2 linked regions of the Neurospora crassa OR74A genome follow. The protein of the gene in region 1 interacts with the protein of each later gene in a biochemical or structural test. Links are inferred from orthologs where the notes say so. Each region holds a gene or a part of one and is shown on either strand. Other genes may lie near its edges. The genes, in order: NCU02776 and NCU03246.

Region 1 (4,347 bases):
GGACAAGTCCAAGGGGGAAGATGAAACGAGAGCGGCGGCGTCTAGGAGGGTGTAGGTCTTTCGTTTGTTGGTTGGCGATAAACTCTGCCGACAGATCTGGGAAGACCAAGAAAGGGGAAAGCGACGGCCGTCCATGTTGGATTGGGCTGGGTAGGCGAAGAGTATCGGTCGTTCTTCGTCTTCGTTGTCGTCAAAGGGACAGCTCCCAGATAACCAGTCTTCCACCTGCCGAGTGTCCAGACAAACACTACTTCTAGCCTCTTCCCGAACTCCTACCAAGCTGGTATGGCTGGATTGATGGTAGACATAGTCAAAGCCCGTGGGCAGACATCTCATGGCTTCGACAACCAGCTTGATCCCGGCTGTGGCGTTGGCGACAAAGACGAGGTCAAAGTCGGCTGGGTCGGCGTTGAAGAACTGCAGGGCTCGGAGACGGATGTCTTGGATGCGCTGGGTTGACAGTTGGGAGGAAGCTGAGGCGGAGTGGGGGTTGCCAAAGAGGTTGGTGGTCATCTCTTGGGCGAAACGGTCCATGAGGGACTTGGGATAGGGGGTGGTGCCGGCATGGTCGAGGTAGATGGAGTCTGTTTGTTTTGTGTTAGTGGTCTGGTCAAGTTGTTGAAAACGAACTTCAACTTGCCCTTCAGCATAGGATACTCTTCTTCTCTTATCTTTTCCACGTCGGCATCGTAGCCATTGTGCTGTATGTTTAACGAACCCATCTTGGAGAACAATCAAGTATCACCAAGTCCATTAAATGACAACCGGTCAACCGAGTTTGATATTTCTGTGAGATCTCTGGGCTATCGACATGGACATCTGAACAGACACTGAGGTGGATGACTTGTCATTGCCACTTGTGGTCATGATACTTGTCGATAAACACAAGCAAAGGCACCTACGGTAGTGGCGTCGGGTATTGGAGGTTTAGTTTTCTTATACGTACCGATTCGGGAGGTCCAACGGGACGGAGATCGCCACTTTCCAGCACAGCAAAGTGAAACACAGGCGGCGGTCTCCCTGCTTCAGTGGAGGGCTCCCCTGGAATGCCCCTGTGGACACTGTGAGAATAGTGCGGGGAAGTGGATACGGATCTGGAAGAGGCCCCGCTTTGACACAAGGCACGCGCCACGAAACGAACCCTCCCTAGCCACAGTCTGTGTGGCTCATGCGCAACGGGGCTTAATTGAAACGCGCAGTGCAGCGGGGAAGCCGCGTCGAGCACCGAGCTGCAGCCCCACAAATTCGCGGTCGCGTCTCCGCAATGTGGAAGTGGAATGTGCCAGGGGTGGCAGCGCGCGAACTGGAATTCTACTTTGGTGCAGTGCGACTGGGACTGAGTGCGCAAGGTTCCTCTTTCCACCTTACAACCACACAACCACGCAAGTCCATCACCACCATCAACATCCGCGCATCGTTCTTTCCACGCGATTGCCGCTTGTCATTGTGATTGTGCATTGCGACTGGTGTTTTAGACTTGACAAAAAATCATGGCCTCACCTAGCGCACCCACGACTCTGGGAAAGAGGAGAAGGAGCACCAGACTCACAGGTGAGCAGCTGCAACTGACAACGACATTCAAGAGTTGCCATCGACATACTGACAGACCACAAGACGAGGAAATCACACTAGGCCCTCTTGCCGTAAAGCGAACAAGACGCTCTCTCCGAATCCACCCAGAGATCCACCATGAGCCCGACCACATCCAAGCAGAGAAGGAGAAGGCCGCCTCACCACCCAAGCCAACTGCCGACGAGGACGTTGAGAACCACAAGGAAAACCGCAAGCCCACAGGAGACGAGGACGAGGACAGAAAGGAGGCCGAAACACCAGCCAAGTCACTTCTCAGAAGGCGCAAATCAGTCATCGCCAGCCCGCCAAAGACAGCTCCCGTCACACCTTCCACACCACGACACTACGATGTCTTTGCAAGAGTACCAGTCACCACTCCGCGCCATCGCGTCATGTCCGTTGGCAAGCTCTCCAGGCGCATGACACCAAGCACGCCCATGACACCCGCCGCTTCTCAGACAGTCTACCATCAAGCTCGCCAACTCTTTTCTCGAAGCGCCGATCCTGGAGAGCTCATTGGACGCGACGACGAGCGCGAGAAGCTCAACACTTTCCTGGATTGCTGCACCACTGCCCATCCCAGCGGCTGCCTCTACGTCAGCGGACCTCCTGGAACCGGAAAGAGCGCCATCGTCAACAAGGTCACCGACAAGTTCGCATCCGAGACATCAACAGTGCGCAAGGCTTACATCAACTGCATGAGCATCAAGTCGTCCAAGGATCTCTACGTCACCCTTCTCGACCAGCTAGTCAGCAAAGATGAAGACAAGGAGGAACTCTCAACCGAAAGCGACGTGGTGGCAGCTCTCCAAAAGCTCATCCTGCCCAGGAAAAAGACCCAGGACGTCTTCCTCGTGGTGTTGGACGAAATCGACCACATCCTCACCCTCGACCCTGAAAGTCTCTACAGCCTCTTCGAATGGTCACTCGAAAAGAAGAACTCGCGCCTCGCCCTGATCGGCATTGCCAACGCGCTCGACCTCACCGACCGTTTCCTGCCGCGCCTCAAGTCGCGCAACCTCAAGCCTGAGCTTCTGCCCATCCTTCCATACACGGCGCCTCAGGTCAAGAACATCATCATCACACGTCTCAAGAGCCTGCTTCCTGGTGGAACACCCAAGGACCCCAACTACATACCCTTCTTCCACCCAGCCGCCATCGAGCTCTGCTCGCGCAAAGTCTCCAGCCAAACCGGCGACCTGCGCCGCGCCTTCGAGATCTGCCGCCGCGCCATCGACCTGGTCGAGTCGGAGACCCGTCTGAAGCACGAAAACGAAGTCAAGGAGCAGATGCTACAAATGTCTCCCTCCAAGAAGCGCGTCCTAGGCGAAAACACCAACCTCTCCTCGGCTCCTGCGCCTTCCTCTCTCTTCCGGAGCATCTCCACTGGACCCAGCGCCAGCGTCTCGGCCTCTTTACTCAAATCTCTGCAAGCCTTGACGCCCGCCACCGCTCCGCGCGTCAGCATCGCCGACCTCAGCAAAGTCACAGCCGCAGCATTCAGCAACGGCACCACTCAGCGTCTCAAGACGCTCAACCTCCAGCAGAAAGCCGCTCTGTGCGCTCTGGTCGCCATCGAGAAACGTAACCGCGCCGCGCAGTCGGAGGCTCTTAACTCTGCTTCAGCCAGTTTTGCATCCACTACCGGCACTCCGTCGAGGAAACAAGAGGCGCCAATTGCCCCGACAGTCAAGACTCTCTTTGAAGCTTACACCAAGCTCTGCAAACAGGACTCGCTGCTTCATCCGCTTTCGTCATCTGAGTTTCGCGAGGTGGTGTCTTCCTTGGAAACTCTCAGTTTGATCACGCCAGTGGACGGCAAGACGGGATCGTTTACTGCCTTGGGGTATAGCTCGCCTGGAGTGGGGACACCGAAGCGGGGAGGCAAGAAGAAGAAGGATGTGTTTGGGATGGGAGGCGCGTTGGTGGCGGGAGATGAGAAGAGGGTGGCTAGCTGTGTGGGGGAGAGGGAGGTCGAGCAGACTTTGCTGAAGGATGATGGGGCGGGAGTGGGGATTTTGAGGGGGATCTTGAGTGGAGAGGCGTTGGATGATTGATTGATTGTGTTTGGGATAGTATTGCAAAGTTGCTGATGATTTGGACGAGTCGGGTTTCATGAGTAGGTTGTTTTGCGTTGTTGGAGAAGGAAGCATTGTTGAGAAGTACGGACGGAGCATGGCATGGCGTGTTTGAGAGAGCATTCAAAAGTATATCATAGGGAAGGTGTTTGGATTCGTTGTAACCCAGGACAAGGGTTGGTGTTTGGCGTTTGGGTATTTGTTTGGTTTTGCGTACTTGTTTGCATTGAAGACAAAAATGGGGAGCAGGGGCACAAAAGTCCTCATCATCGGCATTAGTACCTATCCATTACATAGACCTGCCGTCGTACGTACATAGACAGACACACATTGATACACACCAAAAAATGAAGACACTTTACAAAAACCACTTTTTGACATCCATCCATCCATCCATCCATCCATCCATCCATCCATCCATCCATCCATCCATCCATCCGTCCCTTCCGGTCTTATTAGATAGGTAAAGGTAGATGTGAACAGCTCAGGAACCAAAACAATAGTATGTATGGTATGCATTTGAGATGCGGGGTTTACAACCGGCCATCAACTAACTTATATACTTACCTCTTGAATTCCCCGACGGTGTGGCCGGCGGCGTTGTAAACGGCCTTCCTTTCCTGCCTTTCCCGACCCCTTAGGTTCTGTATGTTTCGTTCCCTCCCTTCCGTTTCCATTCTGTGCGCTTCCGATCCGA
Region 2 (4,513 bases), about 4.2 Mb from region 1:
ATACCCCAGGAGATAGGCATACGTACAGGTGGTGATCAACCACCATTGTTGCCTCTACCTGCTAACCGCTCAGTGTCCAGAGGCATGGCGCCATGTCTGTCGCGTCATCTTTGGCCCCAGATGAGAGTGGGCGGAGAGTGGGCGAATTGAGTCTGCTGCAGCAGGAGTGAACCCGTAAGAGTCTCGACACAAGCAGCCCTCAGATGCTGGCTTTCTCAGACTCAATGACATCCACATCCATCTCCTCCTGCACCTCCAACACCAACGCTAGGCTGTCCATAAAGGAATTCACGGCAACGCGCAGCATGCGGTTTGTGGTGGCCTTGTAGTCGACTTGCAGGACCGTCTCCCCAGCATGTTCGCTGCCAGGAGACGCAACGGTCGAAAGTTCCCGCTTCACGAGGCCGGAGAGCTCCTTGTCCACCCTCAAAGCCTGCAGGGCAACAGAAGCTAACCGAGCATCAGGGAAGGGCACTCGGAGTGTTCTTGTCGGTTGCTGTGTTAGTGTCGATTATCTTGAAAGGTATGCAGAGTTTGAGTGAAGCAAGGATGTGACGATGATCTCATGAGACGAATGGTACAAGATGAAAAATTGAAAAAAAAATCAAAAAAAAAAATTTCAAAAATTGGAAAATAAACAGAGGATCAAAACATATCAGAACAAGGAATGAAGTAACAATCAAAAACAAATGACCTACAGCGAGCAGGGGAAGTTATCGTCGGTTGCCATGGTTGCGGTCTTTAATAACCCCGAAGTAAACACTTGCAAGAAATATGTTGTCGTGAACCAAAGGGTTTCAGACTGGCACTCGCCTAACGGTTGTCAGGGGAGTTTGTGTGGTAAGCGCTACCCGATGACGAATGTCAAATTCCAACCGCCGCGAGTGTGCCTGGGCTGTGATGACCGATAACAGGCCCTTGTGGGAAACTCTGTAGGAACCTCAAACTGTATCTCACACTGGCAATTCCGCAGTGATGTTACTATCGTCTACAGTTATCGCAAGGTCGTAGGCGGCAGGCTGGCTGAACAGGGAACGAGTTTCGATATTCGGTTGTTGCCGTGTGCTGGGCGCAAAGGCATCATGGCGGCTTTACAGAAAAAGGACAAGCTCCGGCAACACCTCCCTCTCTACCTCAGCTGGAAAGTGGAGCTCTGGGGGGGGATCTCCCGTCAGAGCGAAGCGATTGGATGTTACTGGTCCAGGCGCGACTGCGGATGCCAAGAGAGAAGGTTGTCAGGACAACGGCGGGTGAGATGGAGCTTTGAACGCGCTTATTGGGCGGTGAATTGTTTTGGAAGATACCAAGCCCCCCGAATTCTTCGCTGGCCCACGCTAAACCCCGGGCGCAGGCAGAGCGGTCGGGCAAGATCAGTTGCGACTTGGAGGCGGTCTCTGCATGGAAGGTGAGGTGAAGGTCTCGCTCGTTCTCCGGTTCGCCAGGGTCCCTGCCAATGACAATACACACACGACATACAACCTTGCCAGCAAAAACACCGCTCTTGGTAAGTACCGGTAAAGGCCGTACCTGCTACAAAACCTGTTCTCCGCAACCAGCTCATACCCACCGGTCTTTTCTGACCTCCTCCTCTCGCACATCATCATCGAGTTGCCCACTCCTTTGTTTCTTCAATTCTCCTGCCTCCGGTGCCTTCGTTCTTTACAAGAATTGCATTCTCGCAGCCGGTGTCCTCTCGTCCTTCTTTGGAGGCTTTGGCCCTTGTTTTTGGCCCTTTCATCCCACCCCGCACCTGCAGTGCAGTACACAGTCCCTTGCCTCGCGGTATAGCTACCTAGCCCAGCTTGGCTGCTTGGTTTTCCCTTGTTGGCACACAATCGCTCGCGCAAACGATCTGCGATCTCGACCTCACCTTCTTCCCGTCAATCAATCCGACCATAATTTTGGCCGACCTCAAGTACAGCCCTCAAACGACAAAAGATCGAATTGGACTTTAACATCCTTCGCTCCCGCCTCCCTATACGTAGCTCATTGCATTGCACAGCATCACTATTCCCGTACGTGCGCCTGCGCATTGTCGCAACGCCAATCGCTCTCTCGACATAAACAGTCGACTTTGAGCCTCCCAGGCCACGACGCCATGGCTCCTTCCTCCAGACACTCCAGCAATCTGGGGCAAATCATCGAGTACATTCCCGGTACGTGTAGATTATTTGTGCGCCGCTCCGGTCCTCTTAATTGAAGCTACAATTTTTTTTTTGTTTTGCTTCTGGCTCCGTTGTCCGAAAACTCCATGTTTATGATCCACCCGCATCCCATGTTCACCGCTCCGCAACGGAGCTGCTCGTCCCAATATGAGCACCTTTGAATATCCTCTACAATATCAGCAATTGCCTTACAGTATACTAACCTTTACAGACCGATTGTACCTTGCATCTTACTCTGAACCTCCTACCGAGCATACCTTGTTTCCCTACCCGGATCCTGAACCACGGTCCCCGCGCAAGCGCTCTCAACGAACAATCGACCAGGTCACGGAGCGTAAGAAGCCATACTACTTCACTGTCGACGATACTCTTCTATACAATGCCTTCCACCACGATTTTGGCCCGTTCCACATCGGCCACCTTTACCGCTTCGCCCTGCAGTTCCACGAAATTCTTGGGGCCAAGGAGAACAAAGACAGGCCGGTAGTGTTCTGGAGCAGGGCCGATCCACGCAGTAGGTCATCTAAGTCCGCCTCCTCGAGAACAGCAAAGATTGCTGACCAATGTTACCTTAGGTCGTGCCAATGCCTCTTGTCTACTAGCTTGCTACATGGTTTTGATCCAATCGTGGCCTCCGCATCTAGCTCTTGCGCCGGTCGCCCAGGTTGACCCCCCTCTAATGCCGTTCAGAGACGCCGGCTACAGCCAGGCCGACTACGGCATCACGGTTCAGGACGTTGTGTACGGCGTTTGGAAGGCCAAGGAGGAAGGCTGCTGCGTGTTGGAGACATTCGACCTTGACGAGTACGAAAAGTTTGAGAGAGTTGAGCACGGCGACTTCAACTGGATTACACCCAACTTCCTGGCATTTGCCTCTCCTCAGCATACCCCGGTTGCTCCCACCCCCGAGGGGACCGAGCAGTGGTCACTTCTGCCAAAGACCCTAGCCGCCGTCGACGCACATCCTACGCTGCCGCAGCCCTTCAAAAATGTTCTCAGGCATTTCTCGGAGCGAGACATCGGCCTTGTCGTCAGGCTGAACTCGCAGCTCTACAATCCCTCATACTTTGAAGCCCTAGGAATCAACCACATCGACATGATCTTTGAGGACGGAACATGTCCTACCCTTTCGACCGTACGGAAATTCATCCGCATGGCCCATGAAACCATCTCTAGGAAGAAGGGCATTGCTGTTCATTGCAAAGCTGGCCTCGGCCGAACAGGCTGCCTCATCGGTGCCTACCTGATCTACCGACATGGATTTACAGCAAACGAGGTCATTGCCTACATGCGCTTCATGCGCCCAGGCATGGTCGTAGGGCCTCAGCAGCACTGGTTACATCTGAACCAGGGCATCTTCCGGGAGTGGTGGATTGAGGAGCGGGTTGAGCGGAGGCTGCGCAAAGAAATGGCAGCCGCTGCCGCCGCCGCCGCTCAGGCTAACGGGACAGCGCATCCCAGCACCCCTGTCCGTGCCGTGTCGAAGACGAGTCTTGGTCGTAGCTCTAGCAAAAATGGCGTGTCCACACCCTCTAACAGAGGATCAGTTCGGACACCGCTAGGCGAGATCGATCGGGAGTCGGCGCGTGACAATCATATCGGCGTACAAGAGGATTACCTCCCCGCACCTACGCCAGGACAGCCAAGGAAGACGCAGCGGGGCGCAGTAGATCGCCAGAAAGGATATGGCCGGGGACCTATTCAGACCACTGTGGAGGAAGAACCCGTTCCCATGACAGAAGTGACAACCGAGGTGATCACAGTTCACAAGAGCTCAAGAGGGCCGAGTTCAGAGGAGGAATGGAATCTTCGAAGATCTCGGCGAAGACAGTCTGCTGCTCCAACTTCACCAGGACAACCCCCCGAACGGTCTGTCACCCACCAAACCGCTACCACGAAAACGACTGTTTATCAAGTCATGGATAATGATGCATCGAACGATATCGAGAACATTGGTACTGCCGCAGCACGAATCAAGGCCCATGACCACGCTCCACGCACTAGTTCCGCGTCTGGAGTTTTGACCAAGATACGAGGCAACACTAGTGCGAAACGCCATCCACCTGGGAGCGTCAGAGAAGCTGGTGTTCGAAAGACGAGTGGACGAGTTGGGAGTATAGGGAACTCGACAACCAGTCCGGCCGCTGTATCGGCAATGCGTAAAATAAGTGGGATGTGACCCTATTCTCATGAGTCAAAAGATTATACTTGACTTGATGTGTTACAAACGAAAGCTCGGATTCATTGGCTTCATAATTCATTTGAGATACAAAAAGAAAAGGTGCGTTCAAGAGCATAGGGTTATGCCTTTGGGAGTCTTGGGTTTCTCAGTGGCAGCAAGCAAACTT

The links.
Region 2: of the proteins of NCU02776 (region 1) and NCU03246, one has a biochemical effect on the other in vitro, tested with the Saccharomyces cerevisiae proteins (3 studies listed by BioGRID). The link is inferred for Neurospora crassa OR74A from reciprocal best matches to the Saccharomyces cerevisiae genes CDC6 and CDC14.

Annotation. Positions count from the first base shown.
Region 1 is NC_026501.1:9,228,468-9,232,814, forward strand, and holds NCU02776 (cell division control protein Cdc6), read left to right. Parts: upstream 1-1,343; 5' UTR 1,344-1,490; coding exon 1,491-1,551; intron 1,552-1,614; coding exon 1,615-3,629; 3' UTR 3,630-4,020; downstream 4,021-4,347. Other genes in the region: NCU02777 (molybdenum cofactor sulfurase), read right to left, coding at 1-584, 641-722. UniProt on the Saccharomyces cerevisiae protein: Plays a crucial role in forming the pre-replicative complexes.
Region 2 is NC_026501.1:5,041,577-5,046,089, forward strand, and holds the start of NCU03246 (tyrosine-protein phosphatase CDC14), read left to right. Parts: upstream 1-1,552; 5' UTR 1,553-2,098; coding exon 2,099-2,156; intron 2,157-2,376; coding exon 2,377-2,679; intron 2,680-2,740; coding exon 2,741-4,344; 3' UTR 4,345-4,513. Other genes in the region: NCU03245 (hypothetical protein), read right to left, coding at 200-485, 699-730. UniProt on the Saccharomyces cerevisiae protein: Protein phosphatase which antagonizes mitotic cyclin-dependent kinase CDC28, the inactivation of which is essential for exit from mitosis. To access its substrates, is released from nucleolar sequestration during mitosis.